3 linked regions of the Sus scrofa genome follow. The protein of the gene in region 3 interacts with the protein of the main gene of each other region in a pairwise test. Links are inferred from orthologs where the notes say so. Each region holds a gene or a part of one and is shown on either strand. Other genes may lie near its edges.

Region 1 (4,475 bases), on a different chromosome or scaffold from region 3:
TGTTGTAGACTTGTAACAGTTTTTATACAGCCTAGAGACTAGTCACTTATCAATTATATGATTTATAAATGTTTCTATTTTGTGGGCACATATAGGTTTTCATTTCCCCTGGGCAAATATCAGTGGGATTGCTGAGTAATATGTAAAGTGCACGTTTAACTTTACAAAAAACTGCCAACCCATTTTCCAGAGTGGCTGTACCATTTTGCATCACCACAAGCAGCATATAAGAGTTCCAGTTGTTCAACATCCTTGTCAACACTTGGTATGGTCAGTTTTTTTTTCTCAAAAATTATATTCGGGGGGGGCGGTCTTTAAATCCTGGTCATAGTCACATTTTTTTTTTTAGGGCCACACCTGTGGCACATGGAAGTTCTAGGCTATGGGTCAAATTGGAGCTGTGGCTGCCAGCCTGCATCACAACCACAGCAATGCCAGATCCAAACCACATCTGTGACCTACACCAACAGCTTGTGGCAACGCTGGATAATTAACTAAGTGAGGCTAGGGATCTAACCAGCATCCTCATGGATACTAGTTGGGTTCTGAACCCACTGAACAACAACGGATCTCCTCATAGTCACATTTTATAAGATGATGTCACATGCTTGAGCAGAGGATGGAAGCTGAGACAGGGACCAGAGGAGCCTGGTGGGAGGAATGCAATGGTCCAGGCCAGGGATAGTGGGGATGAGGGAAGAGGAAGATTCACAAGTGGTTCAGGGGGCCAGGGTATGGAGCTGGAAGTAGCTGAGCAGGAGAAAAAAGTGGAAGGAGGCCAGATCTAGAGTGGGAAGGGCATGGGAGTGCCAAGTTGGGAATTTCTGGCTCCCCAATTTTCTGCCCAAGAGCATTCTGGGTTTGAATAAGGTTGGTAGCTGCTACATTGTATTTGCCTCCTGGGGATGCCTGGTGCACATTAGCACATTAAAGGCTCTGACAAGTTCTGCAACAAAAAACTCTGTTGTTATTTAACCCAAACTTAGACATTGGATTGCTTTTCTCAAGCCATAACATTACTCTCATCATCATTTCCAATGCACAATTCATCTTTTTTATTCCCCATTATGTGCCTAGAATTGGGTTATATCCAATGGTCAAATATTTTGGGAGGGTGCATTAATGATCTTATTAGGTCTTCAGAACAACTCTGTGAAGTGGGTACTAATATAATTTCCACATTACAAACAAGGCTCAGAGAGGCCAGGTGATTTGCCTAAGGTCACACAGCTACTGTGTAGAGAAATGGAATTTGATCTGGAGTGTGCTCACAACCTTTCCACCACCCTGCCCATCTCCTGAAGGTGCCCCATACTGGGAGTTCCCCTGTGGCACAGCAGGTTAAAGATTTGGCATTGTCTCTGCAGTGGCTTGGGTCACTGCTGTGGCGCAGGTTTGATTCCTGGCCTGGGAACTTCCACATGTCGTGGATTTGGCAAAAAAAAAAAAAAAAAGAAAGAAAAAGAAAAAGAAAAAAATAATATTCCCCCATGCCCCTAGTCTCTCCTGGTAGTGGCAGCTGTGGTTTTCCCACTGAGGTGACCTCCCTGTGAGGAACCCTGTGACCTCCCACAGCCCTTCTCCTTCCCCTGATGGCCAAGGACACACTCAGGCCGTTGCCCAGAGAGCTTGGCTGTAACTTGAGTCTCACCCAGGCTGGGGGTGATGCGGCGGGTGGGCAGGTGACAGCCAGGGCAGGGAGATTTGCCCAGACACCAATGTGCGGCAGCCTGGCAACCGGCGTGGCCCTGAGGAGACTGGGGTCTTTTAGGAGTCTGTTCCAGAGTCCTGACAGTGGCCTTCACCATGGGCAACAAGCAGACAGTGTTCACACATGAGCAGCTAGAAGCGTATCAGGTAGGGGTGATGGACTGGACCCTTGGTGGCTTTGGCAGCCTTTGTTTCCTGGCCTGCGAGATGGGGACGGCCTCGCTTTCTTCCTGGGTGTGCACTCAGTAAGCATTCCTGGGGCAGTTCTGGGTGTGGCATCAGGCAGCGATGGGTATGCGATTGTGGGAGAAGAAAGAGGCCCTCCAGGCAGGCTCTGTGCCAAGCCAACATTTCTCTCCGCAGGACTGCACCTTCTTCACGAGGAAGGAAATCATGAGGTCAGTCTAGAGAGGAAAGGAAGGAAGAGCTGGACACTTTCTATATATTGCTGGATTTGCAGTTTGTCCTGGATTTGCCGTCTGACCTCACTCAATGCTTCATGGGGGTTAAATGGGGGGGATCGCGTGCATGGTCAGTGAATGGATGCAGAGAGGGGAAGGTTGAGAAGTCACATCTGGTCCTATTGTCACACTTCTAGGCTGACGACTTGGGCTTTCTTCTAAGGGTGGTGGGGAGCCATAGAGAGTGTGCGAGCAGGGGAGAGGCAGATCGGCATGTTAGGAAAGATCCCCCTGAAGCTGGTGTGAAGAGGCTGGGAACTGGGGGCAGACTCTAGAGCCAGCTTTGGGCTGTGGGTTTGGCATCAAGATTAGAGAGAGAGGAGGTGGCCCTGGGCTGCAGCAGGTCCCTGGTGTGAGCAAGGTGGGCATAGATGGACAGTCTATATCATCACTCAGCTCACAGAGCCATTGTCCAGAGGCCCCGACCCATGAACTTGGAGCTGTGAAACCCAAGCTGGCTGGGGTTTGACTGCAGAGTGATCGGGGCCAAGGCCCCAATTGTGTGGGCATTGGACATCCATTATTGATTGGCATACCTTTCGCCAGTTAGCCCCATTGTCTGGGGAAGAACAGCTCACAGGGTCGTCATGGCCATTACGATTGGATTACTGATGGGGAGACTGAGGCTCAGACACAAGAGACTTACCTTGGGCCGCTGGATAGATGGGTAGAGCCCAAGGAATTTGAGGGCTAACATTTTGTCTGTCTCAAGCTTCTTGCTTGTCAGACAGATCTACTCAGGAGAAGAAGGGAAGAGAGACTTGCTCAAAACTATGCAGAAACCCAAACCCAAACCCAGACTATTCTCTGAGATGATTCAGAACTGAAGCTTGAAATACCCCTTCCCTAGCCATCATATGACCCAGAGGCTCTGGTCCCCCTCAGGGACAGTCCTTAGATAGTCCTGTCCCCTTAGCAACTTGGGGATATCTGACTCATCAAGAATGGTCTCTGTAAGCCTGCTGCTCAGCATGCCCCAATGATGGTATGGTGTCATCAGGTGAGGGCATTGGAGTAGAGAGCTGGCCTCACAATCTAGGTAGTGTGTTTGGTGGCATTTGGTGTTTTACAAAATGCTTATCATTTACCCTTTTGGAAAATCTGAATAGTAGACTTTTTTCTGCTCTTCTGCATTATGGAAAGAGAGAAAGTATGAGGTTGGAGGTCTTTAGAGGCAAGGTCTTGCCAAAAACATGATGATGTCCAGAGATTCATAGATTGGCTCAGAATCTCTGAATGCTGATGTGCCCCAAGCACCCTCCTTCTGTCAACCTCATCTGCCTGGTAAGCTTCTACTCATGCTTCAAAGCCCAGCACCAATGCCCCCTCCTACAGGAAGTCCTTCCTCCTTCTTGGCTTGTTTTCCCCCCTCTGGTTTCCCCTAGCCCTGAAGCCTTCTCTTTACCTTGGCCTTGTCCCAGGAGGATAGACATGCCTATGTCTGGCCTTGTGTGTGTGAGGTTGGGCTCATGGCTGATAGTGCTTGGGGACTCAGCATTCTTCAGTATAGAGTGAACAGCTATAAGAGTGAAAGAGTAGGGACAAGCCACCCCTACTCATCTCCTAGATCTTCTCATTATTTTTCTCCCCACATCAGGCTCTTCTATCGCTACCAGGACCTGGCCCCCCAGCTTGTTCCTCTTGACTATACCAGCTGCCCTGATGTGAAGGTGCCCTATGAGCTCATTGGCAGCATGCCTGAGCTGAAGGTACGCCTGAACCATGGGACAGGTGGGGGAAAAAATTGTAGGAATATCCCTTGCTATATCCCTATGAGGTGAGTACTGTGATTATTTCCATTTTACAGATGAAGAAATTGAATTTCAGAGATGTCAAGACACTTGTTCATAGTAACACAACTAGGATGTGATAGAGACAGGAATCAAACTCTGGGTTGTAGGGAATATGAGACAAGACAATGCAGGAAAAGAGCTCGGCACAAGACCTGCTTCATGGCAAGTACTCAGGGAATGTTCTTTTTATAGTAGGAGCTAGTAAATGCAGGTTCTTCTCAGTTGGATGTTTGACACATAGTTTGTGACTATGAAGGGGACTTGTGGGGTGAGTGACTGTGAGTAGAGATTATTTTATCACAATGGACAGAAACCTGACTCAAGAAGGACAGAATGGGTTGGATCATGTGAACAAAAAATGCAGGGAGAAGGCTAGCAGCATGTATAGCTGGAACCAGGGTCTCTGAAGATATGCTTGAGAATCTGCCTCTATCTTTCAGCTTCTCTTAGGAAGAGGCTTCAGTCTCAGGCAGCCTGTCCTCTTGAGGTAGTGAAAGGAAAGCTTACCTGA
Region 2 (4,250 bases), on a different chromosome or scaffold from region 3:
AATACACAGCCCCTGTTTTCTCACCCAGATTTCCTGGAGCCTGCTATGCTTGTCCTGGTAGCCTGTCACTAGGTGCAGGCTGGACAAGGAAGGGAGGCATCTGGACCACCAGCTGGTCCTCCAGCCTCCCACCCACCTCCAGGGGGAAACTGGTCTCTGTCCCACACCTCAGCCAATTGCTGACACCTCCACGACTTCCTTTTTGGTTCCCGAAATCTTAAAGGCCTTAGAGTTACTCCGGAGTGAGGAAAAGGTGGAAGAGGGGGCAGGGATATAGGACGCAGGCCTGCCCACTAGGCTGAGGCAGGTAATCCGCCACACCCCTTAATCCTGTAAGAGGCTTCTACCTCCCTATGGGGGATGGCACGCAAGGGACAGGGACACACCTGCCCACACCCGGTCTAGGGGAGCCCCCTGACTCAGGTTCTGACTCACCCAGCATAGACGCACGCAAGGGGGTGCACAGACAGAGCACACAATCCCTCACCCAGTGGCCCATCCCTCACAATCAGTATCACGGTCTGTCCTAAACTACAAGCCCGGTAAAGATGCTCCAGCGCATCACAGATTCAGTCAGTGGGGAATCTGATAGAAAAACACATTTAGGGCAGCTCAACAGCCCCCGGGGGGGCAAATTGGAGCCATCAAAAGGGACATCCTCAGGGCATTCTGGAGTGTGCACATCTGTACCAGTGTGCACAAAGTGCAAATACACATTAAGCCAAGGGGAGACCCAGGACCAGGGAGCCAGCCATCTGCTCTTCTAGTTCTGGCCCCCTGTCCCTGTGAGGGACACTGCTCAACTCCTTCACCTGAGAATGGGAACTCTGGGGCTGCAGCAGAAATGCTCCACAGATGGGCAGGAACCAACTTCTTGCCCAGGAGTCCCTGCCATCCTTTAGGACCCATCTCACACTGGTGGAAGCTCTGCCACTGGCCATCCCAGGTCTGCTACCAAAGGCAGAGACACCCAGGGTCCCCAGCCGATGGCCCAGAGGCTCCCGCAGAGCAAGGTGTATACACAACAGCATCCGAGACTGACGTGGGGTTATTATTATGTCTCCATGACTCAATCTTGATCATCCTGAACCTGCCATTAAGCTTTCCCAGAAACAAGCCTGCCCCACTCTTTGTCTGAACATGGCTGGTGGCAGGGCTCGGGGAAAGGCTTCATGGGGGATTGGGGCAGAGAGCTTATGGCTACCAGACCATTTCATTGCCCTTTTTTTCCCGCTCACCCTATGGCATATGGAGTTCCTGGGCCAGGGATCAGATCCAAGCTGCAGTTGTGACCTATGCCACCACTGTGGCAATGCTGGATCCTTAACCCGCTGTGCTGAGCCAGGGATCAAACCTGCATCTCAGTGCTCCTAAGATGCCACCCATCCTATTGTGCCACAGTGGGAACTCCTCAGTGCCTTCTTCTTTTTTTTCTTTTTTTTTTTAATGAGGGATGCACCCACAGCATATGGAAGTTCCTAGGTTAGGGGTTGAATCAGAGCTGCAGCTGTTGGCCTATGCCACAGCCACAGCAATGCCAGATCTGAGCCACATCTGTGACTTACAGCACAGTTCACGGCAATGCCAGGACCTTAACCCACTGAGCAAGGCTGGGGATGGAGGATCCCTCTCCTCATGGATACTAGTCTGATTTGTTACCGTTGAGCCACAGTGGGAACCCCCACTCAGTGCCTTTCTTTTTTTTTTTTCACCCCAACTCTGGGAGCATGGATGTTGGGACCCTCCTTTTCCAGACGGAGGAGTGAAATAACTCTCTCAAGGTGTCACAGCTACAACAGGCATTCAAGGCCAGACCCCTACGTCAGTTCTGTCTGATTGTGTGTGCTCTTTCCATGTTGAGTGAGAACGTCTGGCTGAGATGAAGCATCTTTGCCAAAAGAACCTCAGAAGGGGGTTCCTTATGGTGGAGAAGAGATGGGGGGGGATGTTGGCTTGGCACACAGGCTAGGATGTCCTTGTCAGCCTAGGGCCTGGAATAGGGCCCCTATCCAGCCTTAGCTCCACCCACCCATGCCTCACCCATGCCTCACCCCTGCATCTTCACTCTCAGGCCCTCCCCAAGTCCCCAGCTTTCCTCTAAACACATGGCAATGGGGGGTGCTTCTGGTCCAGCCCCCACCCACAGCCCATGCTAAGAAGCAAAGAAGAAATGGTGACAGCTGTCAGCCCTGAAGTGGGCCTTAGAAGGCACAAGGTCCAACATTTGACTTACACAAAGGAGAAACTGTGGCCTGGGTGGGGGAGGGTGGCCCGGTAGTAGCAGATCCTGTTCTGGGCCCCAGGCCTGGGGACTCCCTACCTATACTTTTCCAAGTGGCCCTGCCGGGACTGGAGGGTCTGGGGAGTCTTGACGTTCAACAGTCCCAGAAGGGACAGTCTGGTGAACCCCCCCCACCAAGTGGTAGGGTTTCTGGGAATTGAGGGGCACACAAGGATGATTTAGAAGCCGCTGAGCAGCGGAGAACCCAGAGCAGAGGACGTGGTCAAGACCCCCAGGTTGATTTCAGCCTGTTGATCTTCACTCCGTCCTTGGCCAGGCCTGCTGGGCTCCCTGGACAGGCGCCCTTGGGCTGACCAGGGCCGGGCCTTTCTCTGCCCCCCACCCCACCCCCAGCTCCTTCTGTGCCCCAGACGGGCGTGGGGCTCAGATCACAGTGCCCGCCGCACCTGGGACGGTCCTCCCGTGGACCAGATCCTCACCCCGCCACGCCGTCCTCAGGGACGGAGAGCCACCTACTCACCGCACGGGCCAGACGCGGATTCCAACTCCTGCGTCCCCAGGAGCGGAGCGGAGCGGCCGGGACTCCCGCAGAGTTCCCGGGCCTGGCCGGGTGAGTCAGGGAGGGCGGGATGTGAGTTGGGAGCCGCCCCGCTTCGCCCCGCCCACCAGCCGTCCCGTCCCCGCCTCCCTTCAGCCGCTCCCAGGTCGCCCCCAGACTCCCGGTACTGCGGGATCGCGGGAGGAAGACGATCCTAATTCTGATGTCCCGGAGGTGGGCAAGGCGCTGGTCGGAGGAGCAGGAAACCGTAGAACTCTGGGCTCCGCTGCAGTGGGGCGGACCTGACACGGGGAAACTGAGGTGGGGCTGGAGGTGCTCGGCTCCCAAAGCCAACCTGTGGACACCCTTACAGAAGCCAGGCTGTGCAGATCTGTTAGGGACGCGTGGAAGTCCTCTTCTCCTCTCTTCGCTCCAGGTGTAGGCACCTGGCCTTGAGACTTAATCAAGGGACGTGGGACCAGGTTCCAAGGGAGGGCAGGGCACTTCCCCCTTCCTACTCTGACCACCCAGCCGGCTGCCCTGCCCAGCCTTGAGGTCAGCTCTCCCCAACCTGGGGGCGGGGAGCAGGGAGGAGAGGGAGTGGGCTGCTCTCAGGTCCTGGGGGGCGGGGATTTGGGCGCAGGGATCAGAGGGCTCTGGGAGGCCAGCTTTTCTAAAGGAGACACTGCCTCCTCTCCCGCCACGACTGCCTCCCACCTTGGGAAGCCTGAGCTGGGTCTTCACTAAGTCTTCGGCCTTGATGTGCTCTGTCTACAAAATTCAAGGGAGAGGGAACCTGGACCAGGTGGAAGAGTAAGACCTCCTCTCCCATGGGGAAAAGAAACCCATAAGTTCACCAGATTAGAGACAGTCTGAAACCTGGAGGGTTGAGTCCCCCCCTCCAGGAAGCTTAGGTTCCTCTGTGAAACCTGCAGTGGGCATGATCCTTGGAGAAGTCCCTATGGGCTCCACCAAAGGCCGCCCAAAGACAAACTTTATTGTTTAGACCAGATAAGTGAGGCTACCTTCTCTCTCAGAGCTTCTGCACTAGCAGGTGTGCATGTGTGAGAGAGAGAGAGACAGAGACAGAGAGAGAAGGCGAGAATGCAAACAAGGAGTTTCCATTGTGGCTCAGCGGCTTAAGAACGTGACTAGAATTCACTTGTATTCAATCCCTGGTCTCGCTCAGTGGGTTAAGGATCTGGCATTGCCGTGAGCTGTGGTGCAGATCGCTGACCCGGCTGGGATCCCTGCTTGCTGTGGCTGTGGTGTAGGCCAGCAGCTGCAGACCCCTAGCCTGGAAACTTCCACACGCTGCAGGTGTGGCCCCAAAAAGAAAAAAAAAAAAAAAGAATGCCAGCAAATAAGGAACAAGATGTTAGTTTGTGACAAATGCCATGTATATAACATAGCAGGGCGAAGTGAAGTGGTAGCAAGGGCCGAGGGCCGTTGGGAATGAATAGTTTCTCC
Region 3 (4,606 bases):
TTCTTTTTTTTCTTTTTCAGCTGCACAGGTGCATAGGGAAGCTCCCTGGCTAGGGATCAAATCCGAAGCAGAGATAGGACTGGCAACTCTGGGTCCTTAATTCACTGCCCCCACTGCAGAGACAACACTAAGTCCTTAACCTGCTACACCACAGTGGGAACTCTTATAACAATTTTAGTTCTTTACCTATAAATTAAGTAACTCACATCCTAGACACTAGCTGGTTTTCAGGGACATTCTAAGCTAATTTGATAACTGCTTTCCTAAGAGTTATTTAAAATTGTTTCTATTCTGTAGGCTTTTCCTTTCTTGTTTTGTTTTAAGATAATCCTCAACGATCAGGTTACCAAAGAGAAGCTGCTTGGTGGGAGATGGGTTTGGAAGACCAGCACAAATCTTAAGGCATCACTGTAAGATATTACTTTGTCATGTCCATTTTACAGATTAGGAGACTGAGGCCTGGGAAATTTAAGCGCTTGCCCACAGCTGACTGCCCACACCCACAGCATGGGGTAGATCCTGGCTCTGGCTGGCACCTTGGGGAAGGTTAAGGCTTCCACTGCCATCAGCCCTTGACACCACATTCCAGATACCATATCAAGACATCCAGCTGCAGAGACACCAGGATTTAGGCTTCAAACACTATGACTTGGTATCACACACAAGGCCTGAGCCAGATTGACAAGGAAATGCACAGGACATACTGAACATGCTATTCCGGAGCCCACCCACACCCTTAGATGCTCCTTTTCTCCCTAGGAGAAAGCCAAGTTTGTTTGTTTGTTTGTTTCTTTTTTCTTTTCTTTCTTTTTTTTTTTTGTCTTGTGCAGCTTATGGAAGTTCCCAGGCTGAGTCCAATCCCAGCTGCAGCTGCTGGCCTACTCCACAGCAACGCAGGATTAGAGCCACCTTTGCAACCTACACCACAGCTCACCACAACACCAGATTCTTAACCCACTGAGTGAGCCCAGGGATGGAACCTGCATCCTTGTGGATTCTAGTCAGGCTCATTAGCTCTGAGCCACACCAGGAGCTCTGAAAGCCAGAGTTCTTAAAGAAATACATAAAATCACAGAGATACGCTGGCACCTCCTTAAAGTTTGGAAATCTTGTCTGGAAATAAATATAAAACAGAAGTTGAACTTCAAGATTTTCTCCACCAATCAATAGTAAGAAAAAACCCACACTCCTTCTCACTCATACTTCAGGGAGAAAGGAGGGAATTAGGATCTCCTCGCTTTATGTATGGTCCTCATCAAATGACTGCCTTGTTAGAACACAGTGAGAAGAGGGGAGGGGAAGAAGCGAGCTCAGGGCTTGGAGCCCGAGGCCCAAGAGAGACTGAAATCCCAAAGGAATCCGGCCACGGGCGATGCCCCCGGCGGCGCGACACGCCCGGGTCCTTACAGGACTGATCGCCGTGGTCACTGCCAGCGCACAAAGATTCTCCAGGGCGGGAAAACACTGGTCTAACTTCATTGTTTCGAGTCAAGCTTAACACGCAGCTTCTCCCCTTTTTCAAAAAGGACCCGAGGTTTAAGGGCTGGACAGGATTGTCTACACCGGCTGCCTGGTGCTGAGGTCTTTTCTTTGTGTCTTCGCCTCTCAAAGCAGAGGAACAAATCCCAAAGCGTGCGCTAGAAACCAGGCGCCCCAGCCTCTCTCACAGCCACCTGGCTGTCGCCTCCTTGCCGCGCCAGCGCGCACAACCTACAGACAAGGAGTGGCGACGCGCGTCGCGAGGCCCTCCCGCAGCTCTTTGCCCGCACACCGGCCTCTCCTCCCGTTGCCTCTGCGTCCCTGCCACCCGACTGGAAGCCTTCGGAAGCCAAGCCCCCTGCAACAAGCGTGAAGCCACGGATACTCACGTTTCCAATTGTTCTCGTGAAGTGCGCGCACTCCCCACCACGCCGGTGGTATTTAGAAGCCGGAGAAAGCGTTCCGAGCGCCGCCGGCCGGCTGAAAGCCCCTCATTTTCTTCAAGCTCACTCCAAATGCGCCTGGGTGCCGCCAACGCAGCTGCCAGGTTTAATAACTGTGTCAGACAGCCCCTCCCCCCATAAAAAGACACAAAGATGACAGACTGGGGACTGTGAAGCGCGCGATCCGCCGCAGTCACCCGGCCTCATCCCCGGCGTTGCCGCAGCTGAAACGACTGCGCAGGCACCGACCAGGAAAAGGTTCAAATGCCAGCCTTGACCTAAGAATTCTCCCGAAACCTCTGTTCTTTCCTATTCGCTCTGAACATAAATCTGATACGCCTCCCAATAGTCCTTGTGAAACAAAACAAGAGGCGAAAAGCGAGGGGGGCCAGTGGCGTTTGACCACGGATCATAAGAGCCAAGGGCTCTTCCAGTTACCCTAAGTTGTGTCTCAAATGTAAAGGGGAACTTAGAAGAACGCAGCAAACCTCAACCCTATTAATGTTTGATTTTCCGGGCGTTGGTGGAATATCCTGACACTATTTAAAGCGGCAAAGCACAGGAAGCTCATCAAACTAGGTTTCCCTCAGGTTTTGTCGCGCACACGAACTCTCAAGCCTTTCCAGAGGACACTGGCAGCAGAACCTTACTGTCTGGGGAGTCTCCTTTGCAGATCCTCATCGATTTGGACCATCTCCAAAGTGCAGTTCAGCGCCTCGAGGGCGACTGGGTTTTATCAAGCCGAAAGGAATTGGTGGTTCTGTTTTGCAAGTGAAATATCCCACCGAAAGTAGTGCTTTTAAAAATATGGTAGATATATAACGCATCCAGGCCTCGTGGGAGCCTGGTGGCCTCGCCCCGCGGCCCCCCCCACCCCCGGCCCCGCCCTGCCCCGAGGGCTCTTCCCGGCGTCACCCCACTGCGCCCGCTGCACCTGCCTCTGCCGGGAGTGGTTTCCGTGGAAACTCCGCAGAGCCGGTTCTCGCTTCGGACTCGCGGTTGCCGGGACAACTGCGACCTAGCATTAGGCGGTCCAGGAAGGATGGCGATGGATGCTTGCTTAAAAATCACAGATTCAAAGAGATTATCGAGGGAGAAAGGGCAGAAAGAGGAGGGCGGCGATATTTGGAAATGGAGGCGGAGCCGCGGGAGCCTGTGAGTGGGTGGGGTTAGTCCACGTTGCAGACCCTTACAGAAGGTATAGCCTCTTCCTTCCTCCCACTAAGCGAGTTTTTACTTGGCTTTAGAATGAATTCCATCGTTCCCTTCAGCATATTTACTTTTCTCTGTTCTGCTTAAGAATAACTAAGTAGCTCCTTAGAAGACAGGAGAGGCCCATTAAGATGCGTGAAGCGGAGGGGAGACCTCATGGGAATAACCCTTAACTGTGAGGATCTCTTTGCACGCTCAGGCCCCCACGAACACGTGGTTACAACATTAAACTCAGGATTTCTGGTGATGGTTTGGGGGGGCGGGGAGAAGGTGAACGAGAAGTTTCAGTGTTCATGTGCCATTTTGTCACTTTTGGATATGGGCATTTTGTACTTGTCAAACAACAAATAGGTATTCAAAAATAAAATGTATCAAGGCAATTTTTCTTTTTCCTTTTTAGCTGCACCTGGGGCATGCAAAAGTTCCAGGGCCAGGGATGGAACCAACGTCACAGCAGTGACAATGCAAGATCCTGAACCTGCTGTGTCACCTAGGAATTCCCAAGTTATCTGTGATTTGTGGAAGGCATATAAACACACCCATACCCCATATTTATTTCTCTTCACTATAAATTGTATGTTTTGTATCTGAATTATAAAAAGTTTAAAGTTAATGGCGGATTTGAATTGATGAGATTTCACTATATATATTATGATAATATGATATTAATTAACCTATGAGTTGAGGCTGAAATATATTTGTATATGTGTATGTATACAGAAATGCATCTCTCTCTCTCTCTTTTTTTTTTTTTTTTTTTTTTTTTTGCCTTTTCTAGGGCCGCTCCCGTGGCGTCTGGAGGTTCCCAGGCTAGGGGTCATATCGGAGCTGTAGCCGCCAGCCTACGCCACAGCCACAGCCATACAACGTGGGATCGGAGCCGTGTCTGCAACCTACACCACAGTTCACGGCAACACCAGATCCTTAACCCACCGAACAAGGCCAGGGATTGAACCCACAACCTCATGGTTCCTAGTTGGATTCTCGGATTGGTTAACCACTGTGCCACGATGGGAACTCCTCTTTTTTAAAGTCATAAATACATTTTTAGGTTCCACATGCATCTAACTTTCATAAAGGAAGTGATATTTCTATATTTTAAGAAAACGGTTTGTATAAAGGAAAATATACAGGAAATGCCAAAAGTTAAGACATTTTGAAGAGAAGAACTGTCTGATTTACATGTTTTGAAATTCACATTTTGTATCCTGAATCTGTTTTGAAGCACAGAATTTTGGAATCATGTGATACAGGTATTTATTTGCAAATGAATTCATCTAAAGCCAGGAATAGAACAGACATTCTCCTCTCTCTCTTATTATATTTCAAGTTTGAGAAAACAAAAAGTATCAAGCAGATTATCTTTACTTGTAACAAAAATTAACAGTGAATGCTACAGAGCACAGAAGAATAGGGAAAATGAGGTTAAAAAATACTAAGCAGGGAAGCATTTAAAAATAGTGCTTCAGGAG

What was found.
Region 1: the proteins of TRIM2 (region 3) and CIB3 interact in binary tests that used the Homo sapiens proteins (3 or more experiments, as listed by UniProt). The two-hybrid records come from large-scale screens. The link is inferred for Sus scrofa from reciprocal best matches to the Homo sapiens genes TRIM2 and CIB3.
Region 2: the proteins of TRIM2 (region 3) and LRRC8E interact in binary tests that used the Homo sapiens proteins (3 or more experiments, as listed by UniProt). The two-hybrid records come from large-scale screens. The link is inferred for Sus scrofa from reciprocal best matches to the Homo sapiens genes TRIM2 and LRRC8E.

Annotation. Positions count from the first base shown.
Region 1 is NC_010444.4:61,406,209-61,410,683, forward strand, and holds the start of CIB3 (calcium and integrin-binding family member 3), read left to right. Parts: upstream 1-1,491; 5' UTR 1,492-1,806; coding exon 1,807-1,857; intron 1,858-2,073; coding exon 2,074-2,108; intron 2,109-3,768; coding exon 3,769-3,880; intron 3,881-4,475. UniProt on the Homo sapiens protein: Acts a an auxiliary subunit of the sensory mechanoelectrical transduction (MET) channel in hair cells. Plays a role in regulating hair cell MET channel localization and function.
Region 2 is NC_010444.4:71,315,360-71,319,609, forward strand, and holds the start of LRRC8E (volume-regulated anion channel subunit LRRC8E), read right to left. Parts: upstream 2,867-4,250; 5' UTR 2,763-2,866; intron 1,297-2,762; exon of another isoform or gene 1-1,296. UniProt on the Homo sapiens protein: Non-essential component of the volume-regulated anion channel (VRAC, also named VSOAC channel), an anion channel required to maintain a constant cell volume in response to extracellular or intracellular osmotic changes.
Region 3 is NC_010450.4:75,936,717-75,941,322, forward strand, and holds the start of TRIM2 (tripartite motif-containing protein 2), read right to left. Parts: upstream 3,097-4,606; 5' UTR 2,948-3,096; coding exon 2,861-2,947; intron 2,781-2,860; exon of another isoform or gene 1,869-2,780; intron 1-1,868. UniProt on the Homo sapiens protein: UBE2D1-dependent E3 ubiquitin-protein ligase that mediates the ubiquitination of NEFL and of phosphorylated BCL2L11. Plays a neuroprotective function. May play a role in neuronal rapid ischemic tolerance.